2 linked regions of the Macaca mulatta genome follow. The protein of the gene in region 2 binds, or shares a complex with, the protein of the main gene of each other region. Links are inferred from orthologs where the notes say so. Each region holds a gene or a part of one and is shown on either strand. Other genes may lie near its edges.

Region 1 (4,046 bases), on a different chromosome or scaffold from region 2:
TTGCAGGAAGGTCCCAGATGCTCTAGAGCTCGTGGAAAGCTCTCCTGCGCACCCTGTCCCCTCGGAGCCAAATGACTGTTGGGGTTCAAACACCAGGGCTCCATCGCTCACTGCTGGTGTCATCTTGGGCAAGTTCCTTAATCTCTCTCTTCTTCCAGTCTGTAAAATGGGCCGCCCCAAGCACTGTGAGTTAATCCATTCCACACGCAATGCAGAGAATACCATTTGGCAGATATAGCTGAAAGCGTCGGCTGTTATATATTACTATTATCATTTCTCTCCTGGGGTCCTCTTATGATTTAAGCCACACTTGTGCCACAGGGTCCCTGGCCTGGGCAGGGTAAGTGCTCGGCACACCTTCTGCCTGGCTCTGGCTTCTCCCAAATTCCTTTTCCAGCCACTTGGGAGGGGTGAACAGGAGATGGAGAAAGGAGTAGAGGTTAATTGAAGGTAATAAATCAGGGCAGCTGCTGTGGTGGCGAGGGACTGAAGGGGAGGTGATCAGGACAGGAATTCATTAGACTTGAAAGGAATCAAAGGCAGTGTGTCCAACCCCCTCATTATCAATGAGAATACTGAGGCCCCGCCAGAGAAAAGAACTTGCCCAAAAGACTGGGCTGCATCTCCAGACTCCACTTCCCTGGGGTCCCAGCACCTTTTGGCTCCCACAAGAGTGGAGGCTCTGTGTTCGAGCACCCATGGGAGGCTGGGCTGGGGGATGGAGCCGAGGGCTGTTTTTCACTCTAGTTACTTTCCTACCATAGGGGGACTGAGCTCTGACCCAAAATCTACAGGTTCAGCTGCCACAAACATTTACCTGGCTCTCTGCTGGGCACATTTCTTGTTCTGTGTTATCTGAATGGGCACCTCGTGGTGATACTCCCTGGGCAGGCAGAGATGGGGCTCCCAGGCCTGGCCTGATCCCCTGCACACACCTTGACCATGTCTCCTATGGTGGACTTAGATGGGTGGGAGCTTTTTAAATAGATGGTCGTGTGAGTACCAGTCCACCCCGCAAAGGTTTCATGGGGATAGTTCCAATGTGACACGAAAGAATGAAAAATAGTCTTAAGACCAAACCAGAGAGGGGACAGTGAAGGCTGCTCCCCACCCCCACTCTGGAGAGCAAGCACAGCAGGAGAGATGTGGCCACTGCCATTGTCTGGGGCTGCTTTCTGGTTTGTGGTCTGGTTTGCATCCTCACCTCTGCAGAGCTGGGGTGTGTGTGTGGTCGGGGGGACATTTGCCCAGGGAAGGGGGCATTTTGGGGCTTTCCAAGAATAGTGCCCCAAGTCAGGCACTTCCTCTGCAGACTGTGACTTTGTTTTGAGCACGTGGCTTCCTTGGGGGCTGTGGCCTCTCATGGGAGTCCAGCAGGGTGGACATTTTGTGTTTGGGTTCCTTACAGCCCTTCAGGAGGTCACGGGAGCCCAGCTGACCTTGCCTAGAAGGGGAGCTGTGGGAGGAGGCACCCTTGTCCTCCATTTGGAAGACACAGGGTCCTGGCTGGCCTCCCATACAGTTGCCCTTTTTAGCACCCCATAGCCCCAACAGGTTATGAGGCAGGGAGGGCTGGGGTCCAGGAGCCTGGGCAGTGGACTTCTCTGCCACCTGGATAATGGCCAGAGGGCAGGGAAGCCCTCAGTCTGAAGTGTCATTCCAGCCCCCACCCACGGCCTCGTGATTCCTGCCAACCATACAGCCAGATGCACACTGTCACCTGGGCTTCTCTGTGCAGGCCTGACCAGGAACCCAGGGTCCCTCTTCCTTCTCCCTCCCCTGGAATGAGGCAAGGCTGGGAATGGGGTGGCCACTGAGGACGGATGTGCCTACTCCTGCGCAGAGGATGCTGTCTTCCCCTCCAGGGCCTGAACTCAGCTGCACCCATGTCAGGGGCTAAAACTGCGGAAAACTCTCATTCCTTCAAGTGCCAGCTCCCTGGGCAGGCCATGGGCAATGCACACTGCAGGGGTGCCTCTCTGGCCTTCCTCTCCCACTACTTTGTGGAGATCTATCCCCAACACCCCCCCCCACACACCAGGGCTATCTTGCAGTTGATCAAACCAGATTCAAACCTCAGCTCTTCTCCTCACTACCAAGTTACTGAGTGCGTGGAGCCTGTTTCTTCCCCTTCAAGCTGGGGGTTCACCTCCTGGGGCTTCCATGACATGGGTCTGTGTCATGGAGACAGCCACCGCCAGCATAGAGTGTCTGGCACCCTGCAGGTGCTGTTCTGTGGATGGGAGGCTCCCTTACCTTGTTCCCTCCCCAATGGTACCAGCAGCTGGACGTGGCTCCTATGTTCCCAGCAGGAGATTCTTTGAAACCTTTTCTTTTCTGAGCCCCGGAGCCTGTTCTGATAACCTGATGCCATACCCTCACCACCCCAGCCTCCTCCCTGCCCTGGGCTCTCACCAGTGTCTGTTGCCTCATGCCCCTGCACCTGAATTAGAAGGCTGCACCAGTGAGCCATCCTTCCCCCATCTCCAGGCAAGACTGTTCCTTGACCAGTGCTGGCAGAGGCCAACAATCTTCACTGGGTCTACCCAGTCTTCCCAAAGCCTCCCAAAGAGAAGTTTCTAAAACCTCCCCAGGACCTTTTACTGAGAATTCTCTCCACCACCCCATACCTTTGGTCTCAAAGGGGTGGTGGGGAGGCCGCCCTCCGTTCTCCGCCCGGTTCATGGTCTTGTTGTTCTCCAGCTCCGGTGGAGGCTCGGGGTACTCTCCGAGCTCAGGGATGATTTCCGTGGCATCATTCTTGAAGGCCTGCCACCCCTGGCCCTCCACTACACGGAAGGCTGCGTGTACCAGCAGGCAGACAAGACACAGGGCTAGTGGGAGCTGCATGGTGCCAGCCAGAGGAGGGCACGCAGCCTTCCAGTAGCACAGGCTCTGGTCTCCAGCGGACACGGTCGCCTTTTTAAAGCCCCCCTCTGCCTCATGCCAGCCAATGAGGACAGGCTGGGGCAGGGCTGGTCCCATGTTTCCCTCAGCCCCCCCGGGGGGGAGGGAAAGGGGTGTGCTCAGAGCAAACCCTCGCCAAAGACTTCTCCTCTAGCTCAGCAAACTTCCAAATTGCTGCTGGCACTCCCAGGTGACCCAGAGAGAGGGGGCGTGTGAGGCAGGGCCCAAGCCTGCTCTCCGGCACCTCCCACGTGCTGGCGGCTGTGGTTTTCAGATATCAAAATGAGCTCCGGCTTTTAATTGTCTGTCTCCCTGGGCCCTCAGGCATTCTCAAAACAAACTGTGGACCCGCTCAACAAAGAGAATGTGCAGTTCCGAGTGCTTCGTGGGGCTGAGCCCAGCCTACTCCATTTCTCAGGCCAAGTTCATTTGTCACCCCACCAACAAATGGCCCAAGGGGTGTCTGACCTCCATAGACCCAGCTAGAGGCAAAATGATGCTTTTAAAGAAATCCCATCCGTCCTAACTTCACAAGTCTCAGCATTGATTGACCTAAGAAAGCCTCTCTTGGCATTCTCCGGAAGGCAAGAGAGAGAACTAGAGGGCCAGAGCAAGGGTGCCCACTTGGGAGATGGGGCAGGATTCTGGTTACAAACCGAGGATGCGCTGGTCACTCAGGCTCCTGTGATGGAGAGCACAGAGGAAATCCCAGCTCATGCTCCTCGGGGATCCTGTGCACCGTGACAGGCACTTCCGAGCCAGGGCACTCACTGTGGCTCGCAGGGTGATATACTGAAGACAGTCATTTCCCCAACCAGGCTGTGCGTGCAAGCAGACAACACCAAATTCCTTTCCTTAGCAAAAGCCACAGCCAGCGTTTTTAGTGCTGACATTTTATTTTCTTGTCTTCCAGCTGGTTACATTTTTCAAAAACATTTTTGAGTCCTGTATGGAGAGCTTCATTGGTGCACACCACAGGATGTGTTCCATGAAGCCATCCCAGGACCGACTGGTCACAAAGAAGCTAGAAGAAATTGCCTTATTGGCCCTGCATATAATAAGCGGCACAGGGCCGGGGCGGCAGGGAGGGGAGGGCCGGTAGAGGCATGGGGGAGAAAGGTTCACACCTGAGGTGCCAG
Region 2 (3,617 bases):
TCATACATGATAGGCTTGGCCTTCTAGTTTATTCTATTCTTAAACAGGAGCAACACCTTTGTCTAAGCTACCGGTGAACACATATGCCTTCAGAAGAGAACTGAAAAGCTCCCTCCTATGTACACATCTCATCCTCCAGCTTCTCTGATGTCTTCATTGTGGGAATGCAAGACTCAGACAACCAGATGAGGTCGTTGTTAAAGCACCATTCTGAAGGAAATGTGGGAGAGGTGGTTAAAGTTTACATAAATTTGATAGGGTGGATTTAGGCTTTTAAAATGGCATATTCGTTGTCATTTTAAGCACTTACTGACTTGAAAATAGGTCAGAATATTGGCTGCCTTTTAGAAATAACCAGTAAATTTGTAATTTTTAATATATTTGAGTAGATTTTTTGGAACAGGCATTTATTTGGAGCCACATGTGGCTTTATCTTAATCCACATTACTAGAACAACAAGATCCACAACTAATGTGGAATCTTATTGAAGGTTAAAATTTTACTTGGAAAAGAGAATACCCAGCAAAATATCCTAGGAGCCAAATATGTATTTGATTAATTGCTTCCCAGGCAAGAAAATGTGGGAACTAAAACTCTGGGATCTTTCTTCTAAGTCTTTTAAACAGAAGGGGGTCTTGCTGTGTTGTTCAGGCTGGTCTTGAACTCCCAGCCGCAAGTGATCCTACTGCCTCAGCCTCCCAAAGGGCTAGTATTACAGGCATGAGCCACTGTGCCCAGCCAATTTAGAACCTTTAACATTTTTTTTTTTTGCTTTACTAAGAAAGTAGTACTGCCAAAATATTCTTCTAAAATAAAAATTATAGTGGGAGACTTTTTAGCTATTCTGTGTGATGTGTTTTTACTACTTGAAGCATGGACTCCACAAAAAATTGCTAAAAGTTGTTAAATCAATGTATTAGTATGATGGACTCCAGATAATGGAGATTTGTAGTAGGATCATTGGGATAACTTTCTAAATCTTCCAAGCTGAATGTGGGTTTTAAACTAATGAACTTAAAGCAGAATTACAGTTTTGTAAATACCAAGTTTCTTTGTGAGTACTGATTTCCTTTGGGTTTTAAGCCAGTATTCATTGAGTGTAAATGTAAAATAAGCTGAGAGACCACTAATAATGGAGCTGTGAAGAATGGGGAATAGGAGGAAATAAAGCAAGAAGTTGTGGCTTGACTATTTATGTTTTATATTCCTGAGAAGGACAAAATTCTCCTGGATTTAGGTATTGTCTGTGAAATGTATACAGATATTTTAATGAAGATTTTAAAAATGGCATTAGACTTTGAAGTTGTTGTAATCTCTCAGAAGTCATTCTTGGCCGAGCATGGTGGCTCACACCTGTAATCCCAGCACTTTGGGAGGCCAAGGTGGGTAGATCTTGAGGTCAGGAGTTCGAGACCAGCCTGGCCAACATGGTGAAACTTTGTCTCTACTAAAAATACAAAAATTAGCTGGGCATGGTGGTGGGCGCCTGTAATCCCAGCTACTCAGAAGGCTGAGGCAGGAGAATCGCTTGAACCCAGGAGGTGGAGGCTGCAGTGAGCCAAGATCGCGCCACTGCATTAGTTCATTTTCATACTGTTGATAAAGACATACTGGAAACTGGGAACAAAAAGAGGTTTAATTGGACCTAACAGTTCCACATGGCTGGGGAGGCCTCAGAATTGTGGTGGGAGGCAAAAGGCACTTATTTCCTGGCAGCGGCAAGAGACAAATGAGAAAGAAGCAAAAGTGGAAACCCCTTTAGATCTCGTGAGACTTATTCACTATTATGAGACTAGCACAGGAAAGACTGGCCCCCATGATTCAGTTACCTCCCCCTGGGTCCCTCTCACAACACATGGGAATTGTGGGAGTACAATTCGAGATTTGGGTGGGGACACAGCCAAACCATATCATAAAGCATCTATTATTATTAGTTTTTGTAATTTTTACCTGCTCTCTTTCCATGCCGTCATCACATACACAAAAAACAAAATGATATCTGCAATCCATGAAGGTTCAATGCCTGTTAATACCAAGTTTATTACTGCTACTACTGGTAATAAATAATTATTTTAAATTTATGGCTGGGCACAGTGGCTCTGCCTGTAATCCCAGCAGTTTGGGAGGGAGGCCGAGGTGGGAGGATTGCTTGAGCCCAGGAGTTCGAGACCAGCCTGGGCAACATGGCGAGACCCCATCTCTATTAATATTTATAAATAATTTTTAAATTATTAAAAACATATTAAAATTTACATTTATATAGTGCCTTACAGTTTTTAAAGTATTTTCATATACGTTGTAAAATTCTCATAGTAACTCAGTGAGAGGGACAAGATGGCTATGACTTTTATTTTACTGCTGAGTAAACTTTGGCCTAGTGAGGCTCAGTGACTTACTTCAGATCAAATGAGAAGGCTGAGACCAAAATCAACCTTCTTTTTTTTTTTTCCCTTGAGATGGGTCTTGCCCTGTCATGTGTAAAATCAGTCTAGAAGTTTCTGCTTTAATTTATATAAGCCCAGGCTTCCTGCCATCTACCAGACAGAATAGGTTAAGGGTTATTCACTTGGTAGACCAGGAGAATTTTGTGTATTTTTATCAAATACCTCATGGAAATGAAGTGTTCTGTGGTATCTCTGTGGACAGGATGGAGAAATATAGGGTAGGTGGCTGTGTCATTCATTAGGTAAGTTCGTAACTGATTTGGTAACCAGGGAGCTGATTAGTGTTACTCTGAAGAGAGTTTCTGAGGGCATGCCACAGAATTTTGTCCCCAGCCTTAGCTCTTCAATATCTGTGTCTGTTTTGTATGAAATACATACAACAGGCTGATCAAATCATTGATGATAGAGGATATAGGGTAACTAGATTTCAGATTTTCTCTTTTCTTCCTTTTAAGCTCCTACCACTTTCCTGCTCTTCAGTCAGAAGAGTGCCATCAACCGCATGGTGATTGATGAACAACAGAGCCCCGACATCATCCTTCCCATCCACAGCCTTCGGAATGTCCGGGCCATTGACTATGACCCTCTGGACAAGCAACTCTATTGGATTGACTCACGACAAAACATGATCCGAAAGGCACAAGAAGATGGCAGCCAGGTAATTGAGAGCGTGGTTCAAAATTCATTTCTCCTGACTAATAATTGGACTCACCAACCATTCTGTTTCACTTAAGTCTTGACTCTGCTTAAGTGTGTTTGTATGTGTTTATGAAACTGAAAATCTGAACCTAGTAACTTATTTTTTCCTTCTGACGATATTTTGAGTAAGCAATTGTTTGATGATGATATTATGATGAAAATTGTTAGGCTTACTTAAGCTGTTATATCGGTAATGGCTTTGTGACTGCCCCCTACATTTCTTTATGAAGCCTTTTTCCTTACATTTCTCTTTGTATAGAGTTTATTAGAAGCCTTGAAATAGGCCTTGGTTCTGATTCCAGCTCTATCCCTCACTTAGAATTCTTACGAACTTTTTTAGCTGAAAAGAATGCAAAGCACATAGCTCTTATGTGTTATTTAACAGGAACTCTACAGTTACATTACTAATTATTATTTAAAAGGTTCAGAGGATATGGAACATGTAACACAATCTCAGTAAGGTTAAAAACATCT

The links. Proteins that work in one complex are often made in the same cells at the same time.
Region 1: the proteins of LRP6 (region 2) and SOST are in contact, whole or in part, in a crystal structure (PDB 6L6R), measured with the Homo sapiens proteins. The link is inferred for Macaca mulatta from reciprocal best matches to the Homo sapiens genes LRP6 and SOST. Residues at the interface, in NP_001401174.1 of Homo sapiens: Arg28, Asp52, Val70, Ser71, Glu73, Leu95, Ser96, Asp98, Glu115, Arg141, Trp157, Trp183, Asn185, Ala201, His226, Phe228, Trp242, Met269, Arg336, His361, Asp379, His404, Asp406, Thr422, Glu447, Arg449, Trp465, Trp491, Asn493, His534; in NP_079513.1 of Homo sapiens: Leu115, Pro116, Asn117, Ala118, Ile119, Gly120, Arg121, Arg169, Thr171, Arg172, His174, Asn175, Gln176, Ser177.

The regions. Positions count from the first base shown.
Region 1 is NC_133421.1:68,105,371-68,109,416, forward strand, and holds the start of SOST (sclerostin precursor), read right to left. Parts: upstream 2,869-4,046; 5' UTR 2,851-2,868; coding exon 2,631-2,850; intron 1-2,630. UniProt on the Homo sapiens protein: Negative regulator of bone growth that acts through inhibition of Wnt signaling and bone formation.
Region 2 is NC_133416.1:14,578,231-14,581,847, reverse strand, and holds part of LRP6 (low-density lipoprotein receptor-related protein 6), read left to right. Parts: intron 1-2,899; coding exon 2,900-3,102; intron 3,103-3,617. UniProt on the Homo sapiens protein: Component of the Wnt-Fzd-LRP5-LRP6 complex that triggers beta-catenin signaling through inducing aggregation of receptor-ligand complexes into ribosome-sized signalosomes.